Arabidopsis thaliana: one gene and its partners. Each later gene encodes a partner of the first gene's protein in a complex. Each region holds a gene or a part of one and is shown in the gene's direction. Other genes may lie near its edges.

What was found.
Region 2: PnsL2 (region 1) and NdhM share a complex: the UniProt entries of both Arabidopsis thaliana proteins name them as parts of the chloroplast NDH complex.
Region 3: PnsL2 (region 1) and Pnsl5 share a complex: the UniProt entries of both Arabidopsis thaliana proteins name them as parts of the chloroplast NDH complex.
Region 4: PnsL2 (region 1) and PnsB4 share a complex: the UniProt entries of both Arabidopsis thaliana proteins name them as parts of the chloroplast NDH complex.

The regions. Positions count from the first base shown.
Region 1 is NC_003070.9:4,837,927-4,841,343, forward strand, and holds PnsL2 (PsbQ-like 2), read left to right. Parts: upstream 1-1,874; 5' UTR 1,875-1,958; coding exon 1,959-2,432; coding exon of another isoform or gene 2,433-2,447; exon of another isoform or gene 2,448-2,607; coding exon 2,608-2,706; 3' UTR 2,707-2,871; downstream 2,872-3,417. Other genes in the region: UCP3 (Mitochondrial substrate carrier family protein), read right to left, coding at 205-735, 1,290-1,676; AT1G14160 (Uncharacterized protein family (UPF0497)), read right to left, coding at 2,872-3,087, 3,242-3,365. UniProt on the Arabidopsis thaliana protein: NDH shuttles electrons from NAD(P)H:plastoquinone, via FMN and iron-sulfur (Fe-S) centers, to quinones in the photosynthetic chain and possibly in a chloroplast respiratory chain.
Region 2 is NC_003075.7:17,829,991-17,833,233, reverse strand, and holds NdhM (subunit NDH-M of NAD(P)H:plastoquinone dehydrogenase complex), read left to right. Parts: upstream 1-1,614; 5' UTR 1,615-1,748; coding exon 1,749-2,201; intron 2,202-2,285; coding exon 2,286-2,486; 3' UTR 2,487-2,701; downstream 2,702-3,243. Other genes in the region: SHM1 (serine transhydroxymethyltransferase 1), read left to right, coding at 31-228, 316-420, 502-567, 650-727, 808-919, 1,001-1,111, 1,195-1,343; AT4G37920 (endoribonuclease E-like protein), read left to right, coding at 2,917-3,100. UniProt on the Arabidopsis thaliana protein: NDH shuttles electrons from NAD(P)H:plastoquinone, via FMN and iron-sulfur (Fe-S) centers, to quinones in the photosynthetic chain and possibly in a chloroplast respiratory chain.
Region 3 is NC_003076.8:4,161,809-4,166,849, reverse strand, and holds Pnsl5 (cyclophilin 20-2), read left to right. Parts: upstream 1-1,926; 5' UTR 1,927-2,129; coding exon 2,130-2,153; intron 2,154-2,246; coding exon 2,247-2,459; intron 2,460-2,603; coding exon 2,604-2,846; intron 2,847-3,429; coding exon 3,430-3,484; intron 3,485-3,678; coding exon 3,679-3,764; intron 3,765-3,977; coding exon 3,978-4,136; 3' UTR 4,137-4,476; downstream 4,477-5,041. Other genes in the region: AT5G13130 (Histidine kinase-, DNA gyrase B-, and HSP90-like ATPase family protein), read right to left, coding at 1-95. UniProt on the Arabidopsis thaliana protein: NDH shuttles electrons from NAD(P)H:plastoquinone, via FMN and iron-sulfur (Fe-S) centers, to quinones in the photosynthetic chain and possibly in a chloroplast respiratory chain.
Region 4 is NC_003070.9:6,458,700-6,462,879, forward strand, and holds PnsB4 (NDH dependent flow 6), read left to right. Parts: upstream 1-1,703; 5' UTR 1,704-1,925; coding exon 1,926-1,991; intron 1,992-2,067; coding exon 2,068-2,109; intron 2,110-2,144; exon of another isoform or gene 2,145-2,196; coding exon 2,197-2,374; intron 2,375-2,474; coding exon 2,475-2,530; intron 2,531-2,618; coding exon 2,619-2,690; coding exon of another isoform or gene 2,691-2,765; exon of another isoform or gene 2,766-3,144; coding exon of another isoform or gene 3,145-3,150; exon of another isoform or gene 3,151-3,294; coding exon 3,295-3,408; 3' UTR 3,409-3,645; downstream 3,646-4,180. Other genes in the region: AT1G18720 (ER membrane protein, putative (DUF962)), read right to left, coding at 597-959. UniProt on the Arabidopsis thaliana protein: NDH shuttles electrons from NAD(P)H:plastoquinone, via FMN and iron-sulfur (Fe-S) centers, to quinones in the photosynthetic chain and possibly in a chloroplast respiratory chain.

The DNA.
Region 1 (3,417 bases):
GCTTAGGATGTCCAATCTAATTTAATCAACAAAAAAAAAATGATAAATCTATGGGCCTACACTTTTGGGCCCAAATTTATATAACTCTTCTCGCGTTAATCAGAAACTGATGCTACTTCTCAAGGTTCTTACAAAATGTGTAACAACTAACAAGTAAGAACTAAAGAACACAAATCTCAAATTTGCTTTTCCAGTTTCTCAGGTCTAGAAGGAAGAGATTCCTGCCAGCAGTCTAAACTTCTCATAGGAGACCCAAAACACGAACTGCCACGGTCCAAGCCTTGCCCATGTCGGGAAGAAACCTTTCCACAAAGCTCTTATTCCTTCAAACTTAACCGTCTTCACCAAACAGTCGTAAGAATTTCTGTACACAGCATTTTCACCCTGGTTCATCATCCTCGTCTTCACCACATCAGCTGGACAACTCAAACTTGTCGAAGCAAGACCCGACATTATAGAAGCAAGAGTGTGCGCAAAAATGTTATCCTCAGCAATCTTCTTATCGATGACAAAGTGTTTGGCGTGATCATAGCAAGCTAGTTCTCCCATATTCACTAGAAATGCTCTCTGGATGTTTGGAAGAACACCTTTCCATAACCCTTTTACTCCTTCTGATTGTAGGATTTTGGTAAAAGCCTCGATTGGTCCCGAGTACCTCGGTTTCAGGCCTTGGCTCACCAATCTACCATCTGCTTGCATTCTCACTTTGACCAAATCAGCTGGACTAGCCACTACCTGCATTTCTAGTATGGACACAATAAGAAGCATTTTAGTGTGGTGTAGGTATAAACAACACTCAAATGTCAATTCTAAAGATATCAACAACCTAAAAGATAGCTACATTTCTCACTTCAGTAGCGTAAAAACAATTGAAAATCCTTAATAATTAACTTCGCCGGAAATCTACGAGTTTCCATAGGTAATCAGTGATCTGAGAGAACTTAATTGTAACACATAGGAGACAACAAGCAAGCACAAATTTTGGATTAAGGATCTGTGAAATACATTGAGACGTCTATGACTAGGATCTGCATTGGTTCTTATCTCTGAACCAACCTAAAGTAGCAGCTAACTTTGGAATGAAACGAACATTGAAAGCCTATAAAACTTGAAACAAAATCTCCTTCTAATTAATACCTTCTTCTACGAAACATATTCAAAGGAAACTATACATAGAGATCGATTGTTCAATTCGAAATGTTAATTCTACTCTAAGCAACTGTTAATCCAGATCCAATTTACAGTCAAAACATGACTCTAAAGATTTACCGGTGAAGAAACACCGTTACCTGAGCTATAACACCAGAAAATCCTCCGACGAGAGCCTTTGTGGCGAGAGGAAGAGACTCGCTATTGTTAGTTTCAGATCTGACGATGAGTCCTTTCAAATTCTCGTATCCAATGATTCTGATAGGCGTGTAGAACAGGTGTCTGATAATCGCCGGAGATAGACCTTTGTAGAGACCAATCACTCCTTCCTTTCTCGCAATCTCCGATACGACTCCGAAAGCGCCAATCCGATGCGCACCAGAAGCGGATCCCGAACCATGGAGCTGCATTCTAGTCTTTGTGAGATCAATCGGAAACGTAACTGACTCTGCAACCATCGCAGAGAGTGAAGCAAGCAGGATCCTGGTTCCGGTCGGTGCTTCTCTGGTCACTCGGCTCCGCTCCATTTTCACCGGATTTGATTACCACTAACACAATGTCCATCACAGAGAACACAACTTGATTCTATTTCGTAGTCAACGACATCGTTTCGGTCATCAGAGTGTATTTGACGACGTCGTTTCCATAATATTGGGCTTTAAAGTCTTATGGGCCCATGTTCACAAATTCTAAAATACAAAACTTTAGAGATAACAGCCGACGTGGCAAAACATGAAAGACCGAGTAGACATTATAGTTTTGAGCTCCTCCCATTTCATATCCTTAAGAAAAACAAAAACAAAAATCAAATGAGCTCCTTCACCACCACCAACACTCCGCCACCGTATCTCCTCCGGAAAATTTATCATCGCCGTGTAAACCAACCGTTCTCCGTCGTATGTTGCACCGGAGAACCCCAACAAGACATCTTCACCCGCCGGAGAACCTTGACTTCACTAATAACATTCACGGTCATCGGCGGTGCTACGTCATCAGCATTAGCACAGGAGAAATGGGGGACAAGGTCATTCATAAAGGAGAAATATTTTATGCCGGGACTATCACCTGAGGATGCGGCGGCGCGTATAAAACAGACGGCTGAAGGATTAAGAGACATGAGGGAGATGTTGGACCACATGTCGTGGAGGTACGTTATATTCTACATAAGATTGAAACAGGCTTATCTGTCTCAGGATCTCACCAACGCCATGAACATCTTGCCGGAGAGTCGCCGGAATGATTACGTTCAGGCGGCAAACGAGCTTGTCGAAAACATGAGTGAGGTATACGTTATATAATTAATGAACAAATTAAAAACAGAATTAGTAATTTTTAATGCTAATTTAAGGTTTGATTGTTAATAACACTGAATGTTGCGTTTTGTAACACATGATCATATGGAAGTCAAACTTTAACCACATGTTAATATTGATATCTTTCATAATTTTGATATAACAGTTGGATTTCTATGTACGGACGCCAAAGGTGTACGAGTCCTATCTTTACTACGAGAAGACATTGAAATCGATAGACAATGTTGTGGAGTTTCTTGCTTAATTCAGTTGTATTGTATATATGTCTTTCTTCATTCTTCACATGAAATCTCTGGACTCGTTACATTAGATATAAAATTAAAAGACTTAATAATGTATATTCAAGAAACATTTCGTTTGCGTGATTTCTCTGCAAAATCAGATCGATATATATATGTGCATAGATATCTTAGTGGCGAGAGAGGGAGATAGCGGAATTGATAACAATAAGCATGAGTAAGATCACTGCGCAGAAAGAACCGATGAGAGATCCCGAGATGCGTTCACAGAATCCGTCAAATTGCTGGCAGATCGGTGGCCAATTAGCAGTTGTGTTCCCCTCGTGAGCTAAATACACGGTGGCTGTTGCTGCAGATGCTCCAGAGCTAACCAAAGCCAGCATCACCTGATTATATATAGAAACCATAAATCATAACACTTTTGAGTGATCAAATTTAAATTTATATATGGGTTTTCATTAAAATGTTAGCTTTCTTGGGTCACAAGTTAGTTGGATATTTGGTGCCCTGTTTTGTTCTCTTAAAGAGGGAGATATTTACCGTGTCGACAACGAGCAAGATGATTCTCGAGGTTTTAGCTTGAGTACTGAAGATATGAAAGATACTCACAGGTAGAGAAAGAACCAAATATCCACCAGAAATGGCGTTTGCAACCACGAAAAACCTATAAAACAGAGCAGTATTATTATATATACACAATCAAATTCATGATTCAT
Region 2 (3,243 bases), on another chromosome or scaffold:
AGTGAGTTTTGATTCGAACTCTTTTCCCAGGTCTGTAACAAGCAAAAAGCTGTAATGCTAGCAGATATGGCACACATCAGTGGTTTGGTTGCTGCTAATGTAATCCCTTCACCGTTCGACTATGCTGATGTTGTAACCACCACAACTCACAAGTCACTTCGTGGACCCCGTGGAGCCATGATTTTCTTCAGAAAGGGTGTTAAGGAAATTAACAAGCAAGGGAAAGAGGTAAAAAAGAAAAAGAAGCAAAATTTGAACCAAAATGTTTTAGATTTATGTATAATCTTTCACGTCATTCATTTGTTGTCTTGAAAGGTTTTGTATGATTTTGAAGACAAGATCAACCAAGCTGTCTTCCCTGGTCTTCAAGGTGGTCCACACAACCACACTATCACAGGACTAGCTGTTGCTTTGAAACAGGTACGGTGAGGCACGGAATGGAACTAACGTTGCTTATTGGATTTGCGGTTTCTGTAACCTTCAAATGGTTTGAAAATGCAGGCAACTACTTCAGAGTACAAAGCATACCAAGAACAAGTCCTGAGTAACAGTGCAAAGTTTGCTCAGGTACTAATCCCGTGAAGGAAAGAAAAACACATATGGCGTAGTATCTACTTTGATTATATCTCTACATTGTTGTTTCGTGCAGACTCTAATGGAGAGAGGATATGAACTTGTTTCTGGTGGAACTGACAACCATCTGGTTCTAGTGAATCTAAAGCCCAAGGTCACTTGATCTTTTTTTGTATATAATCTTCTTTTATATTTCTTAGTTAAAACTCATTTTTTATTCGATTTTGTTTGCAGGGAATTGATGGATCTAGAGTTGAGAAAGTGTTGGAAGCTGTTCACATTGCATCCAACAAAAACACTGTTCCTGGAGATGTTTCTGCCATGGTTCCTGGTGGAATCAGAATGGGTAAAAATCACATTTAACCATTTTTCTTTTTGGTATTCGAATGGAGTTCTTCTTGATATCCTCTGCCATTGTTATTTTCAGGTACTCCTGCTCTCACTTCCAGAGGCTTTGTTGAGGAAGACTTTGCCAAAGTAGCTGAATACTTCGACAAAGCTGTGACAATAGCTCTCAAAGTCAAATCTGAAGCTCAAGGTTTTTACTTCTCTGATCACGATGCTATGCTTTCCGTTCTTATATACAATGATTGAACTCATTTGTTATGTTTCTAAAACCAGGAACCAAGTTGAAGGATTTCGTGTCAGCAATGGAATCCTCTTCAACCATCCAATCCGAGATTGCGAAACTGCGCCATGAAGTCGAGGAATTCGCTAAGCAGTTCCCAACAATTGGGTTTGAGAAAGAAACCATGAAGTACAAGAACTAAACTGTTTCACCCCACAAGTGTTTTCTGTTATGCTTTGAATTCCCATGGAATGTATAGATGATACATGTAAAACTCTATTTTCACGCTATGCGAAAAATAATGATCTGTTAAATTTTCTCTCTATACATCAAAAAGAAATATACTTAGACAAAAAAAACACATACAACAAAACAGTGAATTCCCTAAAGAAGATTGTCTTTAGCTCACAAGTGACTTAAGAGTAACCACAAAATACCAACAAAACGAGAAAGGGATAAATAAGAAACTAGAAGTTGGGAGAGGCTCATCCACAAGCTGTGGTCATTTCTCAACCTCATCAAATCTCTTTACAAGAATATGGTTCTGTAACCGGACAACATCTCAAAACTTGTTCTGTTTTTTTTTTTTCATTTCTTAGACAGAAAAATGGTTGCAGCATTCTCTTACACTGCCTGCACCAAGCTTTCTCTATTACATCCTTCTATGGTTGCTCAAATCCGACCAAGAACAACACAAAAGGCGTTCGTGGTGACAAATCCGGAACAAGACAGTACTCTTGAAGTACAAGAAACAGAGACACTCAAAGAAGAGCAATCAACAGAGAAGATGAAGAAGCAGCCAACACCATTGAGACCAGTGGAGAAACAGCTGAACGTGAAGAGCAAGGGTATGGGCGATTTTGGTGGTCAGTGGCTAAGCAGTGTCACACGTCACGTTAGGATCTACGCTGCTTATATTGATCCAGAGACTTGTGAGTTTGACCAGTCACAAATGGATAAACTCACTTTGATTCTTGATCCTACTGAAGAATTTGTGTGGGATGATGAAAGCTGTAACAAGGTCTATTCTTATTTCCAAGAACTCGTCGATCACTACGAGGTAACGATAACAATAAACGAACGAAACATTCATCTAAAAGTTAGACTCATTTCAAGAAGACCTTATAATATTGTTTTTGAACAGGGAGCACCATTAACGGAGTACACATTGAGATTGATAGGATCGGACGTAGAACATTACATAAGGAAGATGTTGTTCGATGGAGAAATACAATACAATATGGATGCAAGAGTTCTTAATTTCAGTATGGGAAAGCCTCGTGTACAATTCAATACCAGTAACATTGAAGGTGGTGGAGATGGTCAGCCTCAAGAGGACGCTTAGTGAAACAAACTCTATTTTATAATCATGTAATGGGAATATAAATATATTGTAGTATGCTTTTTAATTTTGTCTATCACAAAGTAACATATGTATATATCATGACATATGCTATAATTATTTTTGTAATAATCAATCTTAAGTTTCTTTGTCTTTTCTTGTTAATGTAAGGTCTTAAGGTCATGTGAATATGTAATGTCAAAGAAACTCAATTCTGGTCTTGCTCATTCATGTTCCTTACTCCTTGCCTCTTTTTAAAAAGATTTCAAACTGATGCAAAACTTGTTAGTTTTAACATTTTTACCCAAAAAGTTATATTAAGTTTTTGAATTTGTCAACGTTTACTAATTATTTACAATTAAAACCCTGTTCTTCTTATCCTCTGGTGTTTCTCGTTGTTCGTCACCAAGACGAACTTTGTGAGGGAGAAAAAATGGCGAATTTACTGGAAACATCAATCTTTTTCTCCTCTGCTGATAAATTACTGTCTTTCCCGCCTAAGAATTCTCAAACCCATCATCTCCCTTTCTCTGCTTTCATCAATGGAGGAAGAAAGATACGCAAAAGCTCAACTATCACCTTTGCTACCGACACTGTCACTTACAATGGCACTACAAGTAAGCTCATAAACCCTAAATCTCTAATCTTTCTGTCTAATTACCAATAAATTCTATTTCTTTAGATTCCAATTTGTATTAATTGTCACCATTAGATAAGCTAAACCCTTTTCATAGACTAGGATTCGTCTAGTTAGAGAAGC
Region 3 (5,041 bases), on another chromosome or scaffold:
TCGTGATAGTTTCTTAAATCTCTCTTCAGTCCACCGAGAGTCGAATCGGGAACAACGGATGGGGATTTAGGGTTAGTACTGCCAGATTCGGCCATGTCTCCGATCACTAACAGTGGTTTATTGGACTTGATTTGAGAAGAATCCGTGGTTGCAGTAGAAGCTTCTAGGGTTTTGAAGCAGCTTGAAGTGGGAGAGAGGAGAGAGAGACGTGAGACACGCACGACACACAGACTCTTCAAGTAGTGGGAGCGTCTTTATAGAAAAGTGAGTGGCGCGACTTACAAATAAAACCGTCCAGCTTCCCGGCCCCAATTTCGTAACTCACAGGCCCATCTGTGTTATTAGAGCAACCCTAATGGTTAAACTTTTAATAGGTTTTTTCCAATTTTTTTAATTTTAAAATTTGAGATTTGAATTTAAGAGATTTTGTTGGTCTCTTAATTTTTCTTGGTTTAATGGTAGAAATTTTTAGTGAGTTTCTTATAGTAAAAAATATTATTAAAATGAAAATTATAAATATTCTATTTTATAAAATTTAATAATTAATACAAATACTAAAATTTTAAACCTACAAGAAATGAATATTGAGAATCGGAATAACAATTAGTAGTTAGTTTGATTCCCACCAAATTTGTGTTATATATGCTCAACCAAATCACCTTTCAATTGTTGATGCATAGCCCGATCACGAACTCGAGCACGAGAGACCATAAAATTACCGAGATTTGAAGACATATCTGTAGAGTAGTTAAAATAACTTGTGAAGAGATGGTTGATTCTGGTAGTATGAATTTAGATGCACCAAACGATTTTTTTCAATTTAGTCTTTGATTTGATTATTACGCCCTATGATGAGGAGCTCGACACATATCATCTTTCATCAACATTGACATCGCCATCGTAAATGGAAATAACGAAATGAAAACAATTCAACCGAAATGAAAAGAAAAAAATTGGGTCATATTTTTCCTTCTCTTCCCTCTCCACCAATAGAAGTTTGCCATGTAGGGTCCCTTTGTTGTTTGAAAAATACCGTAAGAGAGAAACAACCCTCTCAATTAAACTGATTTCTAATTTATTTTGGGCTATATAATTCAAGGGACCAACCCTCAAAAGCCCCTTAGAGGCTGCCGTTGGAGTTGGTCTCAGATACAAGGTTTAATTAGTTTTAACTTGCTCTAAAGCCTCTCTACTATAACTTTATTACATTTTGTTTAGTAACAAATGACATTCCCTCTTTTTCTCCCTTTTTGAAATAAATATTCTTTAGATTTACACAATTTTGTTGTTTTTTAGAACTGTTCATCGAAAAATTTCGTCATATTGTCACTAAACTTTTGTAACTTCTAAGAAATTTCCAATATGTTTTCAAAATTTTACCATATAAATACTAATTTTAAGAGAAAATTTGTATCAATAATATGGATTAAAACATGAAGTTAGATTTTTTTTAAAAAGCTTAAAGCCCAATTTTTTTAAAAAAATTGCAAATAATCAGTCTTGAGAATTGAGCATGTTACCAATTCATGTTATACGGAATTAACACTGAACTATATTTCGTTTAACCGTTAAATTATACATGGTACAAAAAAATTGATGTCGTTTACTACTATATAAATATTGTTGATGCCTTTTACTTGCTTGAGCCCAAGATCAACTCTACCTTCTATTTCCGTAATGAATGACAACATATAATCTTATAACTGTATTAATTTATAATTTTTTTATATGACTCGGTTAATTTCCGCGCGATGCATATTTTGTTTTGAAAAAATATTTTTGATTTGTATTTATGGTTTTATTTTCTTATATTAAATAAATATCAGAAATAGTGAACACACTATTTTCTTATAGTAGGTTTGTATTTTAGTTTATGAGATTAGTGTCATTTTGATACGATGAGTTTTTCTTTGTTTGCACTTTGCACAGGTAAATATGCTTCATAGGATCGGCTGACCTGACCCACTCAAAATTGACTCGATGCGAAGCCACGTAACCGGCAGGGGCATAACTGTAAATAACCATGGAATGTATTTCTCAGACTCTTTCGTGCTATCACTCGCTCATCGTCACCTTCACCTTCACCTACCATTTTTGCCAACAAACGCGAGCAAGAGTTTTGAGCTCCAATGGCGACCTTGTCGATGACTCTGGTGCGTTTAATTTTTCCCTTTTGTACTTTTGATTTTGTTTTACCTTTCCGCTTCTTCTGCTTCTCCTGCTCTAATTTTCGGTTATCATCATAGTCAAATCCGAAGTCGCTCTCAGCTCCTCCACGAAGACTTTCTCCGATCAATACCTCCGCTTTCACATCTACCTCTTTCCGATTGCGCACCAAATCTTCCTTCGATTCAATCTCGTTCTCGTCTTCAACTCCCTTCTCCGCCTCATCGCTCCTCCTTCACACGTCTTATACCAAAAGAAACCACCGCTGTTTCTCTGTTCAATCCAATGCTGAGGTTAGGGATTCTCTCATATCTTGTTAGTCACTGATGTCATTTGATGGAATTGGTTGTTTTATTCAGCTTACTCTTAGTTTTTTTTTTCCATTAGATTTACTAAAAGCTATGGAATCATAATATGATGTGGATTTTGTATTCCAGGTGGTTACTGAACCGCAATCGAAAATAACACACAAGGTGTATTTCGATATAAGTGTTGGCAATCCAGTGGGGAAGTTAGCTGGGAGGATTGTTATTGGATTGTATGGTGATGATGTTCCCCAAACTGTGGAGAACTTTCGTGCTCTATGCACAGGTGAAAAGGGATTTGGCTACAAGGGTTCTACATTCCATCGTGTCATCAGAGATTTCATGATTCAGGGAGGAGACTTTGAGAAGGGCAATGTGAGTTTTTCTGGCTGAATTCCTTGGCAGCACCAGTTTCTTGTTAGCTGACTTGCGGTCCATATTATGTTTCTTTTGATTTACTTTGGTTCATCTTATTTTCTGCCAAATCACAAAGTAAAGTAAGCTGTCTCATATCAGGATGGCAGGATGTTTATTAATTTCTTGGATGTGGTACATAGTATAAGTCAAATCTTTCTCGATAAGGAAGGATGCTTAAGTTCTTACTTGTACGGATTTAGAGTCGCTCTTGAAAGCACATGTTTGGGTACATTAATAGGAAAAAGCCTGACCTTTGGAGAGCTTTCTACAGACAATCTTTCTGATAGCTGGCTCTCTGATTTGTAGATCAGTGGCTTTAGAAGAACAACCCCTGTTAATCTTAGACTTTTGTTCTTTTCTATATAGATAATACCTGGGCTGTAGGGAACTTATATACTGGTTCGTGGGTATGCAACTAGCTGTAGCTCGGTAGAAATATATTGTTATTTTCTGTTTCTGCCCATCTCAGTTACCGAAGATTCTTCTAGTAACTGCTAGGAGAATTCCATAATAATGATACAGAAGTCTAATTGTTGAGCAGGGAACTGGAGGTAAAAGTGTATATGGCCGTACATTCAAGGATGAGAATTTCAAGTGTAAGTCTATCCTTTTTCACTTGTTTCCTTCTTCTTCATTCTCCCCAGCTGTGCTTTAGCATTCATATTTATCAGTGGTAATGCATTTTAACTAAACATTTCTGCATTCTCTTTTTAGCTGAGCTGAGTATAATATATACCAAACCTTCAGTTTTATAAAATTCATGAAAGTAATAATGTGCTATACGCTGCAGTATCCCATGTCGGACCAGGAGTTCTAAGTATGGCAAATGCTGGCCCTAATACAAATGGAAGTCAGTTCTTTATCTGCACTATTAAGGTAAAATCTCCCTCTGGTTAAGGCCTATTGTTAAATTAGAAGTTATACGTAGGCAAGCGAGCATCAACAATAAAGAACACAGGTATTACAGTATATAGAATCCAATAATATAACCTAAAGAGTAGAGTTTTGAAATTGGAAACGAAGAACCATCCAAGCTTTGTTGGGAAATTTAGTGTATATCAAATTAATATGCGATAACGATGTGGACAGACGTCATGGTTGGACGGAAGACATGTGGTGTTCGGGCAAGTAATAGAAGGAATGGAAGTGGTGAAGCTGATAGAGGAACAAGAGACAGACAGAGGAGACCGTCCCAGAAAGAAAGTGGTGATAGCAGACTGTGGTCAACTTCCAATGTCTGAAGCTTAAAAGTAAGATCATTTAACCAAAATCTTGTAGACATGAGATGGAGCTTGTTTTTGCATTTTACAACCCTTTCTTTTGTGTAATGGATTTGTATCCCCTTCTTCCAAAAATTTAAGAAAGAAATAGTATTCCGCTGCCGGGTGTTGAACTCATATTTCATTTCATTGGTTTGTTTCGAAATTAACCATTGTGTTATAGCGGTTCAGTTGCATTACTAAGATACAAAATCTGAAGATTCAAGAGTAGTCGATGCAGTTGTGAAATTGGTCTGTGTAATACAGCGGATTTGTTGGTTTGGTATACGAGCAATTTGTATTTAAAGTCCGATCTCTTCATAAAAAAGTAAGAACAACAATTGAAACAAAAAATATTCCGCTGCCCGGATTTGATCCCGGATTTCATTTTGAGTAGTGAAATTGGCCTGTGTGCTACAGCGGACTTGTTTGATTTATATACGAGGGATTTGTTTTTAAAGTCTGATATCTTATTGAAAACAATACTAATTAAAATAATAAGTATTCCGCTGCCGGGGTTTGATCCCGGATTTCATATTGAGTAGTGAAATTGGCCTGTGTGCTACAGCGGACTTTTTGGTTTTGTATATGAGTGATTTGTATTTAAAGTCTGATATCTTATTGAAAACTAACTAATTGAACCAAAAAGTATTACGCTGCCGAGGTTTGAGCCCGGATTTCAAATTCTGTTGTGAAATTGGCATGTGTGCTACAGCGGACTTGTTGAACATGTATCCGATCAATTTGTATATAAAGTCTGCTTTCAGATTAATGAACAATATAATTACTTGTACCTATCACATGTTTGTATTTTAGTGTTCTTTCTTTTTGGTCAACCTTTTCTAGATACAAGATATCTCTGAATACTAGAAGAGCACACCATAAAAAGAAGAC
Region 4 (4,180 bases), 1.6 Mb from region 1:
TAAGTTACAGATGTCTCAAATACTATGGAAGAAAAACCAAACTTTAGTTAAACAAGTGATGTAGATTCTAATTATCTGAGACCATCCAAATGTTGGTGGTCAAGAACAACACTTGTTTCCGTCCAAGCACACATCAAATCCTCTTAACCAATGAGTCAACAACACTAAAAACATGACAAGTCTCCGGACCAAAGAATCAGAACCGTGCAAAGGTGGACAATTGCAGAACAAACTGCAATAACTACTAATCATGAATGTTCAAAGCTAGAGACATGATATTAGTACTGCTGTCTCAACGTTAACAGCTAATGAAGGGACCCATAGACAACAGATAGAGAGGACTAATGATATAAATAAATCTATTTCTTCTTCCCCGAGCATAACCAATGATATAAACGAACTTTCAAGTCAAAGCATAGAAAACAATGAACAATAAATGCATGAACCACACTCACATCATATAAATATACACATAGAGCAACACATGGATACACATAGTCATATACCCTCATAAACATGCTTCTACGCAATTATTTTCTCCAAAAATGAAGTTTTTTCAAAAACCCTAAATTGAAATTAGAGAAAAAAAATCTAACCTTTAAGGCAAGAGAAGATCCTAGTCGAACAGCAAGAAAACTGGAACCAACCCAGCAAGAGAAACACATAAGAGCAGCTACAAATCCAGATTTCTTATCCAAACCGATATAGAACAGAGCATAAATCAAGGCGAATATAAACCCAACGTTAAATCGCAAAACGCCGTCGAGGGTCAACGATTGAGAAAACCCTAATTGAGAGGGGTCGAAAATTGGGGTCGACGAGTGGAGGAGAAGTAAAACTGAGAAGAAGATTGGCCAAACGAAGATGATGTGGATTAGAATGTTGATCGGATTGCTATGGTAAGCACCGTAGAAGGCGAAGTGTTTCTCGAGATCGAACAATCCCATTATGCGACTCATGGATAAAAAATTCGTTGAGGAAGAGGTGTTTTTATGAGGAGAAGATCGGTGGAAATTGGATAATAGTCACCAAACAGAGGAGATTAAAGATATACACGGGAAGAAGACGAAAGTGGAAAGTTTGATTAGCAATTTCCCGAAAATGATGCTAACGTGCGCTTTTTAATAGCTAACATGCGCTTTTTAAAGCGATAGAAGTTGACTTGGCCGGAGATTTTCTTCCGACTTTTGACAAAATACTAGTCGCTAAGAAGAGTAGACGTGTTATTGTGATTGCTAACATGCGCGAATAAAAGCTGGTTTAGATGGATATACATCATTGAAAGTTTGGCAAATAGAACATACACTATTCAACGAATGATGTATTTGGGATGATTGCTAACATGCGCGCATAGGAAGTTGAATTAGATGGAAATATCATTAAAAGTTTGGCAATAGTTGCCAACGTACGCTATTCAACAAATGATGTATTTGGGAAGAGACATAAGCGGAAAGTTTGAATTTCACCAACCAAAGATTTATTAGCAATTTTAGTGTGGTTACTAACTTGCACGTCTAGAGGAGTGAACGTGTTTAGTGATTGCTAACCTGCGCGAATGGAAAGTTTGTTGGACGGGTAAAATACGAAAGTTTGTAGTTGAATTTTGCTGGAAATATCTTTACCACTCTTTAAGGCAAATAGTTGTTCCCAACCTGAGCGTTTTAGAAGGCTAAAATGTGTACTGTGATTGTCTAAATTGGGCTTTTAAAAGACAAAAAAAGTGTTATGCGATGTGATTGCTAACGTACGTTATTTTTTTATTTTGTTTATCACAAAAGTGAAGAGTGGACGATACCAATTCCCTTATCCACACATTTTCTGCCTCAAAAAATCTAATCTTAAAGATTAAAATAAATGAAAAAATAAAAAAGATTACACCAACATTTTTTTTTTTTCTTCTCCATTGCCACCATCAAGAAGTAACAATGGCTGAAGCTTTCACAAGTTTCACCTTCACAAATCTTCATATTCCTTCTTCCTACAATCACTCGGTACATATTATTTTATATTCTTACCAAAAATATTTCATTACGAAAAAAAGTTTAAGAATTGTGTATTGTGTTGTAGCCGAAGCAGAATTCAGGACCGAATCATGGATATTGGCTATCTGTAAGTAATTTTCTCTAACTAAGACTAAAATTAGAAAAAAAATCTCCATATTCTTGTGAATTTACGTCTTAGAATTTGAAAAATTAGAAGAATGTTAATGAGAAGAGGGAAAGGAATTTGATGAGAGGAAGCTTATGTGTAAGAAAGGCATTGCCACATGATTTGCCATTAATGGCTGTGATGGTTCAACAAATAGAAGGAATGCGTGATATCATTACAGAGAAACACGTGTGGCATCTAAGTGATAAAGCTATCAAGAATGTTTGTAAGTTAAACACTTGGGGTTTCTTGAGAGATTTTATTTTCTTTCTTAGACTTTTTTTTCTTCTTTTTCTTATGTTTTGATATTGATCTTGATATGGCAGATATGTTCTACATCATGTTCACTTGTTGGGGATGTTTGTACTTCGGTTCAGCAAAAGTATGAAAACAACAACTCAAACTGAATCTTTTGATACATTTGCTGCATTGGGATCTTAATAGTACTTTGTGATATTGGATCAATACAGGATCCATTCTACGACTCAGAGGAGTACCGTGGAGATGGAGGGGATGGAACTGGATATTGGGTCTATGAAACTGTATGTATCTCTCCCTTTCTAATACTATTAGGAAAGAAAGAAAAAAACTTAGAAATGCATACAAATTATAACTAGGGATGTTGCAATGGACCGACCAACCCGCTGTGGTCTTACTAGACCCTGTGGACCAGTTCAGATCTAGTTTGACCTCAGACTATCCCACCTTGGTCTTAGTAGGCCATGTAGACCTGTTCAGAGCCGGTTTTGAGTACTCCTCCATGTGTCTCAGCATGCGATAAACCTCCCTAAACAAAGAAAAATAGGTGGCTTTTAGGTTAGCGTTTACCGTTGGTATATATGCACCCAAAAATATGAATCCACAACCTTGATCATCTAAACGAAAGTCACAATCTGATAGATGGTAGGTAACATTGATCCATCCTATTGATAGATCAATCATGCTTAGTAAGTTTGAGCCGGGTTGGGCTTGATATAATAATTCAAACGTTAACAGATCTGATGGTAGGTAACATTGATCCTAAGTTGGGTCGGGCTGGGCTTGCTCGGGCCATTGACCTTTGGTATATCATCACAGATTCACAATGTGTACAACTATTATAAGATTGGATAGAGTTGTTATTGTGTTTTGGGTTATATGATGCAGCAAGAAGACATAGAAGAGAAAGCAAGAGCGGAGCTATGGCGTGAAGAACTTATCGAAGAAATTGAACAGAAGGTTGGTGGCTTAAGAGAGCTTGAAGAAGCTGTTACTAAGTAGAAAACTAACTTGTGAATCATAAACCACTTTACATACACATTATATATTTTCTTATATCAGTCATGCAACATTATATATACTCTCTAGCTTCCATATATATAATATATGTTATGTACTTCTTTGTTGTCTTGTGTTCTGAATCATTGAACGATCATGTTAGGAGCAATTGTCTCCTTCAGAAATTTATTGTTGACGACATCCGATGTCTTAAAAATATAAATAATTATGTTTGGTAAACTATCTTAATTTGCTTTTCTTGATTTCTTCGGTCGCAAGTTGGTCAGAGTGAATATTTATTATTTTTAAGTATAAAAAATTTAGTCAATTGGGGCTAAATTAATTGGTCGTATAGACTGGAAAGTGAGTCTGATGAGGAACAATTAGCGGGAAATACGCTTCTGCACGATTCTACCTGACAAAAACCAAAACTAATCAATCTTTAAAAACAAAAAATAAGTTAGCAGAGGTGAAGAAGGAGAGCTTGTCATGTCTTTGTCAGTAACCTTCGTGCTTCCATGTTTCAAAGCCTCTTCGAGCTTGTAATTGTAAACCACACGTGTGGTTTATTGTTTTTGTTTTCTTTTCAAATTTAAGTTTAATTTTCAGATATTTCTTTTTTTTGTGTGTGTGTTAGGAACACATGACAGGAGATATGATGTAACATTTTTATTTAAACAAAAAAAAGATCTGCATCACTGCATGTAGTGTATTTTGTCGTGTGTCAATTAATTCTTATAGTTGTACAATTTTAATTCTGGCCCAAACATGATTG